Linked DNA regions of Danio rerio. The protein of the gene in region 1 purifies or fractionates together with the protein of each later gene. This does not show direct contact. Links are inferred from orthologs where the notes say so. Each region holds a gene or a part of one and is shown on either strand. Other genes may lie near its edges.

Region 1 (4,965 bases):
CAGAGTGATGAAGCCAGTTTTGATACGGGGATGGTTAGGAGGCCAGTGGGCAAATTTGGCCAGTATGCCGGGGTTAAACGGCAACTATTTTTTGAAGGACATCCTGGGGTTTTTAATGACCACATTGAGTCAGAACATTGGTTTAAGGTTTCATCCGAAAGACGGCGCTCACTAAGCAATAGAGAATCCGCTTCACTATACTGGGGTGTTAAGACCCACACAGACTGCAGGATGTGTACTCCCTGCTGGTCTCACTAACACCACTTCCGGCAGCAATCTAGCTTTCCCAAGTGGTCTCCCAGCCAGGTGCTGACCTGGTGTAGCCTTGCTTGGCTTTAGAGGGTGACCATGTGAGAGTTGAGAGAGCTAGCTGCCGGCCAATACACATTTGATGAATACATAATACACATTTGACGATCTTATTTTACAATGATTTACTAAAGATGCCCATTTCAATGGTGCTAACAGTTTCTAAACAAAATAAACAAACAATATGACTGTTTTTAGAGAATCATTTGATGACATTAAAGAATACTATTTAATGATCACCAGAAAGAAGTTCATAATCCTTTCAACAGTTATCACTTATTCTGCAATGCATTGTCATAAACATCAAAATAAATATAACGATTAATTTTTCATGTAAATATACCCATTACACTGAATGGCGATGAAGTGTTATTTTCACCCATATGCTAAGCTTTTATTTGCACAAAAGTTATTTGAAACATTAAAGTAATTATAATTGGCTTTTGGCGGCATAGTGGCTCAGTGGTTAGCACTGTCACCTCACAGCAAGAAGGTCACTGGTTCAAGTCCCAGCTGGTCCAGCTGGCATTTCTGTGTGGAGTTTGCATTGTCTCCCCACGTTCACGTGGGTTTATTTCAGGTGCTCCGGTTTCCCCCACAGTCTAAAGACATGCGGTATAGGTGAATTGAATGAACTAAATTGGTTGTAGTGTATGAGTGCGTGTGAATATAAGAGTGTTTCCCAGTACTGGGTTGCAGCTGGAAGGGCATCCACTGCATAAAACAAATGCAGAAAAAGTTGGCGGTTCATTCCTCTGTGGTGACCCCAGATAAACAAGGGACTAAGCTGAAGGAAAATGAATGAATTGACTTATTATCCCTTATTCCTATCATTATACTGAGTGACGCTAGTGGAGGCTCAACACACACTGGGAACTAATTTAACTAATTAATCATCAAAACAACTCACTACAGTGCAAATTATAAACATGTATCATCTTGCTTACTGGTGAAAACTTCACATAGTAAAAATGTTACTCTCATTTCTTAATCAGTACAATATGTTACCCTAGCAGCAAAACAATAAAAAAGAAGACTTTATCAAACTATAAAGAGGAATGTAATGACACAAAACAGAAACAGACACACTACACAAGTTGCAGAAGGGTGTGGCAGAGAATCCAACAGACATTTCCCAAGCACACACAACACACCCACATTCACACCTCACATACCTGCTCCACTGAGCAACAGACATGGCATGCGTGTGGTTTTAGTGTTGTTGTTTTTATGAAATCATTTCTACTTTGGTGAGAATATCAAACCCAAATCCCAAGGTTTAGAACTACAGGGATTATTTGTTTAAAGCCATGATAATAATTTAAATTAAATAAATTTCATTTTAATTTAAGAACACATCAAACAGAGTAAAGCTCTGAGCTGTCAGCCTCAGTGACAGGAGCAATAAGCAGATGTGCAGTGTAGAAAACTGCCGTCATGGTTCAGCTAAATTTAGCCAGGGACTAGGCTGAGAGCCCAGGGGCAGGGGATAGACACCGTCCTGCTCTTTAGGGTTAAACTTACAGTATCTCTAGGATGTGTGAAAGAAATCTCAGAGAGCAACAGAGGACAAGCACTTGCATTAGCCACTGTCTGCAGCTTTTGAGTGTTTTATGGATCAGTAAGCCACACACCGTTCTGAAACTAATCCTAGTGGAAATACTGTTGGTTCCAGGGTGGAATGAGTCACAGTAATTGCCACTCATGTAACTGCAACTTTAAACTGCAGACTGGTTTACTGGTTTGACTGGCTTGCTGGTTTTAAGAGACTTTTCATTCAAATTTAATTTATTCAATATTTGAATAATTGTTCATACATGACCAAGTGTAAGCTTGTCCGATATTGATTCTTCCCTGTAAAAAACGATTAGTCACCTTACATAAAAAGTAAGCACAATGACTTAAGTGCCTTGTTGCAACTTAAGGCAACTTATCTTTATATTTTTATAATAATACACATGGTTCATTTACCCAATCATTTTATGAAAACATGTTAACTGATTTTTTAAAGTCAACAAATCCCTTAAAATTATTTGTTTACTTTTGATCACTTTTTAACCAAAGTCAACTAATGGCTGTAAAAGCAACAGGTTTTCTAATGTTTTTAAAGGCAAATAACCACTTTAAACGGAACCAGTTTACTTTATTGTTATAAGCAAAGTCAACTAATTGCTTTAAAAGCATCAGGTTTACTAACACTTTTAAAGTAAAGTCAACTAATCGCTTTTACAGTGTCGTTCAGGCTCAAGCTTGTCCTTTATCTTCTTGAATTCTTTGTTGGCTATGCAACTGTGCTGTTTTCTAGACTTGCATATAACATTATTTCATCTTAAAGTTAGCTGTTGGCTTACTCCACCTATGGGCAACAAGAAAAATATGTGATGTATGCCGTGAAGCAGATCGTACTGTTCTGCTCATAGACGTTTCTATATTCGCTTATGTTTCTGCTGGCAGGGGATGGTTGAGGCAGTGTGTACTGTGTATTGACTCCATTACCTAAACTTGCATGTGTGGTTTTAGAGACAGGTTAGCAGAACATGGTAGATCTACACAGAAATGCCAACTGACCCAGCCAAGGCTCTAACCAGTGACCTTCTTGTTGTGAGGAGAGCATGCGACCCACTGCACCACCGCGTCGCCTATCATATCAATATTTCTGGGAATTTATTTCAATAATAATAAAACATTTTGATAAGTACAACAACAACAAAAACAAAAACAACAGTATTTGGTGCCAATAACCCTCTCATAATTAGTTACTATTCATTGAATCATTCATTCAAATGATTTGTTCAAAACTGCTAGTTTATTTAGAAACAAATCCAGTGACTTCCTTTATATATGGATCAATTAATCAATTACACACAAGTCAAACAAAAACAGATGGATTGAAAAATTACAAATATTCTGCTCCATGGCTCGCAAAATCTAGTAGCCCAAAGTCCCAAAGCTATTGTTTTTTTTTTCAGTCAGGCTACCAAAATCCATCTACACTGTGCCCAGTGGGTTATCTAGTGGGCATGGTGTAGATCAAATTTGGTAGCCCCACTGAAAAAACAATAGCCCCGAGACTTAGGGCAACTAAATTTTGTGAGCCCTGTGTTCCTGCATAGTTTGAATATATTTTCATCAACAATATAAAAAAGCTTTTAATAATGTGTCTAAAATGTAAGTTTTATGTAATAAATCATTACTGAAATTCAGAAAAATAGCATGCTTGTTTTTGTGATATCATTACATTGTATCCTATAAATACTGAAAACAAAACTCCATATAGGGATAACATTCAACTTTCTAATAGCCTTCATACTCTTACTAATATCAATGTATAAAACTTTTACATAAAAAAAAAATGAACACATACCTGGCCTTCAGCTCCTTGTAGTCCTCACGCACTTTGCTGAGCTCCAGTTGCAGTCTGGCTCGTTCTTTGGCCACCGAGTCCAGTGTTTTCCTGGCATCTGCGAGTTCAGCCTCGTACGCCGCTTTCATGCCACTCAGCTCCCGGCTGATCTCCGTCTCGGATTCAGTGATGCGCATACGCAGACCTGCGTTCTCCACCTCCAGAGAGCGAACCTTATCGATGTAGACCGCCAGACGGTCATTCAGGTTGCTCAAGTCCTCCTTTTCCTGCAATCGAGAGATGCGGGTAGGGGACAGGACATTGGTCACCCCACCGCGGCTGCTTCGTTTCTGACCTGGAGTCTCCATGGTTGTCTGGAACTACTGATACTAGAATAGAATAGAATAGAATAGAATAGAATAGAATAGAATAGAATAGAATAGAATAGAATAGAATAGAATTATTACAACCCTTTCTAAATAAGAGCATAAATCAGATGCTGTTTGGAAAAGTTGCCAAAAACCCAACCTCTCATTTAAATGAATAGGGAGAGGGTTTCAATAAATTGAACAATGACTGTGTTTGAATATAGGATAGAATTTTTTCATAAATAATATGTTCAGGTATCTTTTAAAGTCAAAGTCTGTCTGTTTAAAAATGATGCTGTGATTTATTGTGCTAATAAAAAAGAAATAAACACAAATGCTGCAAAAATAAGTCTATTTGGTTTATCTCTCTTTCAAAAAAAAAAATCCAGGAGCATCCCGACAAACTTTTCCTGAATAAACATTCAAATAAATCTCCAAAATGTTCCCTCTTGAATACACAAACCCAGATAAGATCTTAACCTCAGATAGGGTTTATACTGTATACATTGCAACTTATCTCAATTAAAGTATCCTGACCCATTTTACAATCGCTGAAGTAAAACAACTAAAATTGGGGGCGTCACAGTATTGAAGTCTGAGACTGTAAGTTATTATGGTAATAAAAATAAAATAAATGCAAATCCAAACTCCATCCCTTTTCTGTTCCCTCCCTAACTTTGCGTCTTAAAGTTTCTGCCATGCCCAACCACTGATCTCATCCAAGAGCATTCATACAAACATTCCCAGCATAAACATTTATTAAAAACCTTCAAAATGTTCCTTCCTGGCTAGACAAACCCAGATAAGAGAAATGGGGTTTATCCTGCATTCAACTTATCTCACATAAAGTATCCTGACCCACTTTAAACACGATTTGCACAGATACGCATGTCAAAGTCCCACTGACAAGAGCTCTGAATGCATGTTTGCTTTGGGCTGTGGAAG
Region 2 (4,965 bases), on another chromosome or scaffold:
TGTGCGACACGGATTCTTATAACGTGCAGTGGCCAGTTGCTATTTGATATTGCTGTCGTATCTGAAGCGACTACTACAGCAATATATCTGTAAAGTGTAGCACACGCATATTTAAGTTGCCTTATATTCTTGCCAACCTACAGTTAGAAAAATACTCACCAACTCAGTCTCTCTTTCTCCCACCCTATGATAGTGTCTTAGAGAATTTGTATATAGATATTTAAATACATATAAATTATATTTTAAATGTTTTTCGAGGGTTTATTTCGCACGAGTGGCTTGCAGAAACCCACCCATTCTTCCAGCTGGTTTTTTTTTTTTTGTATCGTGTAAACTTCAGTTGGGATGGTAAAGTCTGTACCGTCTCAGACATACAATTGTATCAATCGCTTGCTCTTCCAAAAATTGAGCTGTTTTGTGTGTATGTGTGTGGTCAAAAGAAAAACAAGCTGTGTGCCCCCCTTCGATAGCAAAAGAGCATGGCAAAATGTGAGTATTTGCATTGATGTACAGCATAGACAGTTACCTCTATGAAGAAGACCACCACCAATGGACTGATGTGTGTACATTTTGTTCAGAACCTTCAAATAAACAACTTGATTCACTTGGCTTTTGTTTTTAAAGTGATGAGATATCCGGGTCTAGTGATCTGAAGAGAACCACACAACACAGAGTGCTTCTGTTCTCAACACAGATTTATTAGCAAACCTTTAACAAAGGCAATTTGTTGGAAAGCATCACAATAAAAAGTGGGCAAAAAAAAAAAATTTGGTCTCTAAAAAGTCATAAACCTAAAAATGTACCATTTGGCACAAATATGTAACTGACAAATAACCTGGAAAGCATAGTGTATGGGGTGGAGGGAATCGAATATGGAAGGCAAAGAATGTAGGATTACGCATTTCTGTCAATCCTGACGTCAATCTCTCTGCCGTTGAGCCGGTAGCCGTTCATGGTGCGACAGGCTCGCTCAGCGGTCTCAGGATTGTCAAAGCGCACCACACCACAGCCCTTAGACTTCCCGTTCTCCATCTTTATATCTGCATACTGAACCATGCCTGGACGGAAAAACACACAGAAAATACATTACAAATGTTGACAGAATAGAAGTCTGGGTTTAGTAGGACTGGAAAGACATCTCACCACAGGAATTAAAAGTGTCCTTCAACATCTTCCAGGTGAAGTCAAAGGGCAGCTGGAAAAACAAATGAATTCATTATTAAAGAGTGGACAGAAACATCGTTTCCTGACTGATGATGCAACAGGCTGTGTGGGCGGCCACAAAATAGTGACGGTTTTCACTTTCTAATCAAATCCTGCATAAAATGAACTTGTTTAATCTCACCAGTCAATTATCATCATGAGTTTGAAGAGTTCTGAAGATTTTCTTATTGACTTTAGGCAAGAAATTTAACTTAATACATCAACTTCATAGAAGCAGGATCAGTTTACAATTGATGCAAGAGGTATAAATTTGTTAAGTCTCAATTGTGAAATGCAGTTAACAGTTAATTAAATGAAAACAGAATACAACTTTGACTACAGTATTCAACATTTGACGTGTATCTAAAAAATAATGACCATCAAAGTTGTCCTACAACTAGTAAACACCACTCATTGTTTTAGGACGATTTTGAAAAACACGTTTATCCACTTCATATTAGTGTTGTCAAGATACTGGAAATCAGTACCAATAGATAACAAAATTCTAAACCGTCCATTTCCCGCTAAAATTCGACCGCACTCAGCGGATTGGCTATTGTGCTCACATGCTCGACAAAAATGACTGTGATTGGCTGTGAAAATCATCAGTTTACCAAACTCACCGCTGTTTACTGAGTGGAACCACAGATACAGGAACACTGAAGTGTTTTAAAGTCACATCAATCATCTGGTTTGTCTACAAGCTGATGAATCATGACTTTAAATTGCTCCAGCGTCCTTGTATCTGTGGTTCCACTCAGTAAACAGCGGTGAGTTTGGTGAACTGATGACCTTCACAGCCAATCACAACCGTTTCCTATGAGCTCAACAGCGCTCAAATGCTAGCGGGAAATGGCCGTTTTTAAACTTCAGTATTGATTGGTACCAAATTCCAGTATCATGACAAGCCTACTTTAAATGTTGACGACTGTCTGCTATTGCCCACCAGTTTCAGTTTTAAACTTGCTCATCATAGTGTGGTGTTATTTAATAAATATGCAAGTGCATGTACACAACAATATTAATCCCATTGTTCTTGGTTTAATCCTTCCCTACAGTATTACCCAATAATAAGAATACTGTCTGCTTACATTTCTGACAAAAATCTGGCAGCCCTTCCTGGCATTGGCTCCACCAGACCCTGGTCCTCCTCCTTGCCCAGACCCGCCGAATGGAGAACCAAAGTTACCACGGTCCATGTCTCCGGGCCTGTCAAACTGGCCACCGATGCCACCAGATCCCATTCGATCCATGCTGGAGCCCATGCGGTCCAGACCCGAAGAGAAACGGTCCATGCCACCAGAGCCCATGCGGTCAAAGTTTGAGCCCATTCGATCGAGACCTGTGTTCATCCGGTCCATGCCCATGGGAGAAGCAAAGTCCATTCCACCGCTCATACGATCCATGCTGGACGAGCCCAAGCGGTCAAAGCCACCAGGACCCATACGGTCCACGCTAGTGCTCATGCGGTCCAGGCCTGAACCCATACGATCCATGCTGGGGCCGAGACGGTCAAGCCCTGACCCCATTCTATCAAAGCTAGAACCCATGCGGTCCAGATCAGACATGCGGTCCATTCCTCCACCTCCTCCTCCCCCTCCCATGCGGTCCATTCCTCCACCTCCTCCTCCTCCTCCCATACGGTCTATTCCACCACTAAGCCGATCCATGCCAGAATTCATGCGATCCATACCCATGGAGTTTCCTGGGAATTGGAAGATTTTAAAAAATGGGTTTACATATTGCACATTTTCATGTACTTTACACAATTCTGTACAATGTTACTGACCCATTCCTCGATCAAAAGAGTCTCCAAAGTTGCTGCGGGACATTCCCATGTCATTACGACCACTGAAATCTCGATCAAAGCCACCACCCATTCCACGATCCATATCTGAAGTCAAAAGAAAATAAAGCTTTACTCTCACTTCAACTAGAACAATTAGACAAAGACAAAAAATAAACTGATTTCATACATGCATATAATAAAAATAAAACTCATACCATTCATTCGTCCCATTCCAGAAGGTCCGAAACGATCCATGTTGTTCATGCCGCCACCACCACCGCCGCCGCCTCCAAAATTGTCCATGCCTGAAGTCATAGATAAATTATGCACCAAATTAAAACTCACAAAAAAATCTTTAATGCAGTGGATAAGTAGTGTAAAAAAATTAAAAAAAAATTGTTGGGGATAAAAAGCCTCAATATAAAATGAAATACCATTATTAATTAAACAAATCACAATTCAGATCACACCAAATTTACATTGTCACGACTATTTGTCAAAATATGATTTTGGCATAATAAGTTAGATGTAGAGAGTCTTAAGTGAATTAGCAACGCCAGTGTTTTGGGATGCATTTCTCTTTTATTTGGTGTTTTATTGGACAAGCCATGTCTAAGATACTGCAAAACATCCCGACAAAGATGGGCAAGTTTTTTGTTTCAGTAATATCAGAGATTGACTGATAAGACTGCAGATGCTGTTTTGCACACAACCTTCAAACATGGCCATGTAACCTCCTTAAAAAATAATCTGAAACAATGCCTATTGTGACAAACACTTACTATGAATGCAACAGAAGTAGGAATAATAATAATAATAATAATAATTTAAAATCCTGCACCTCTTTAGAAGAAAATGTATAGATCAAGACAGCTTGGGCATTGCCTTTTCTATCAAACTAAAAACCTTCAAAATACAGCATGCAAATCAAATTCAGTAAACCCTACTGATATGCGATAAAAACATGCCCCGAGGGGAAGGAGGGAGGGAAAAAAGGGCTTGAGATGTCCCATTAAAACACATACCTCCCATTCTACCCATGCCACCATAGCCCATTCCATCCATTCCTATGGGGAAAATGAATTGATGAAGGGAGAGGGGGATGATGGTCAGTGCGGGAGAACATGCAGAAACAATGCATACAATTCAACAGGAGACATGCGTTTACCTCCTGGCCCCATATTGCCCATCCCGCCACGATTGAGCTGCGTAGCATCAATGGGTTGACCGCCGGGTCCCAGACCAAGACCAACACCGCTCAAACCACCTGGAGGAGATTGTGGAAACTGGTTTAGAGAAGAATTGCAATGAAAATTGCTAAATGTGAAGGCAGCAAATATAGTTAGCACTTACGAGGAAGTGCTGGAGCACGCTCTGGGGGTGCAAAGTCTCCTTTTGGAAGGGATTTCTCATCCTAAAAAGACAATGACCGATTTGAAGGGGGATTTGGAAGAGTTTAGCAAACATAAATCACTAAATCAGCTCGTTTACTTACCAGTTTGACATGCATGACCCGGTTGAAGAGGAGCTGACCATTAAACATGGCTAATACAAATTAAGGAACAATTTTCATCCATTGTGTACATTTATATAGCATAACTTCATTTAAACCAATAGCACAAACTATCATGAAGGATACAGACTGCCTGAACAGCCTCAATAGGCATGTCAAATGTGACCGTTCCCATGCCTCTGCTTTTCCCATCTTTATCCTCCAGGATATCAGCACGCACGACCATACCGGCCATCCCGAACACCTCTTTCAGTTTCTTCCATCCCACTTTGTAGTCCAACTGTGCAAAAAAAAAAAAAAAAAAAAAAAAAAAAGCCACATCAATACTCAGCGGGCACATTTTCAGAATCTTCATATGGTCCACAAAGGGTTAAAAATCTTACATTAGCCACAAAAATGGTGCTTCCAATTTTTCCAGCTTGGAGGCCGTGGATGACCTCGTTGGGAATGTTAGGGTTGT

What was found.
Region 2: the proteins of lmna (region 1) and hnrnpm fractionate together in Homo sapiens (co-fractionation; 3 studies listed by BioGRID, with this or other methods). This does not show direct contact. The link is inferred for Danio rerio from reciprocal best matches to the Homo sapiens genes LMNA and HNRNPM.

The regions. Positions count from the first base shown.
Region 1 is NC_133191.1:33,779,358-33,784,322, forward strand, and holds part of lmna (lamin), read right to left. Parts: intron 4,042-4,965; 5' UTR 4,021-4,041; coding exon 3,674-4,020; intron 1-3,673.
Region 2 is NC_133197.1:17,230,542-17,235,506, reverse strand, and holds the end of hnrnpm (heterogeneous nuclear ribonucleoprotein M), read right to left. Parts: coding exon 4,889-4,965; intron 4,786-4,888; coding exon 4,632-4,785; intron 4,538-4,631; coding exon 4,488-4,537; intron 4,407-4,487; coding exon 4,346-4,406; intron 4,260-4,345; coding exon 4,161-4,259; intron 4,060-4,160; coding exon 4,018-4,059; intron 3,298-4,017; coding exon 3,208-3,297; intron 3,098-3,207; coding exon 2,993-3,097; intron 2,909-2,992; coding exon 2,295-2,908; intron 1,196-2,294; coding exon 1,144-1,195; intron 1,059-1,143; coding exon 895-1,058; 3' UTR 678-894; downstream 1-677. UniProt on the Homo sapiens protein: Pre-mRNA binding protein in vivo, binds avidly to poly(G) and poly(U) RNA homopolymers in vitro. Involved in splicing.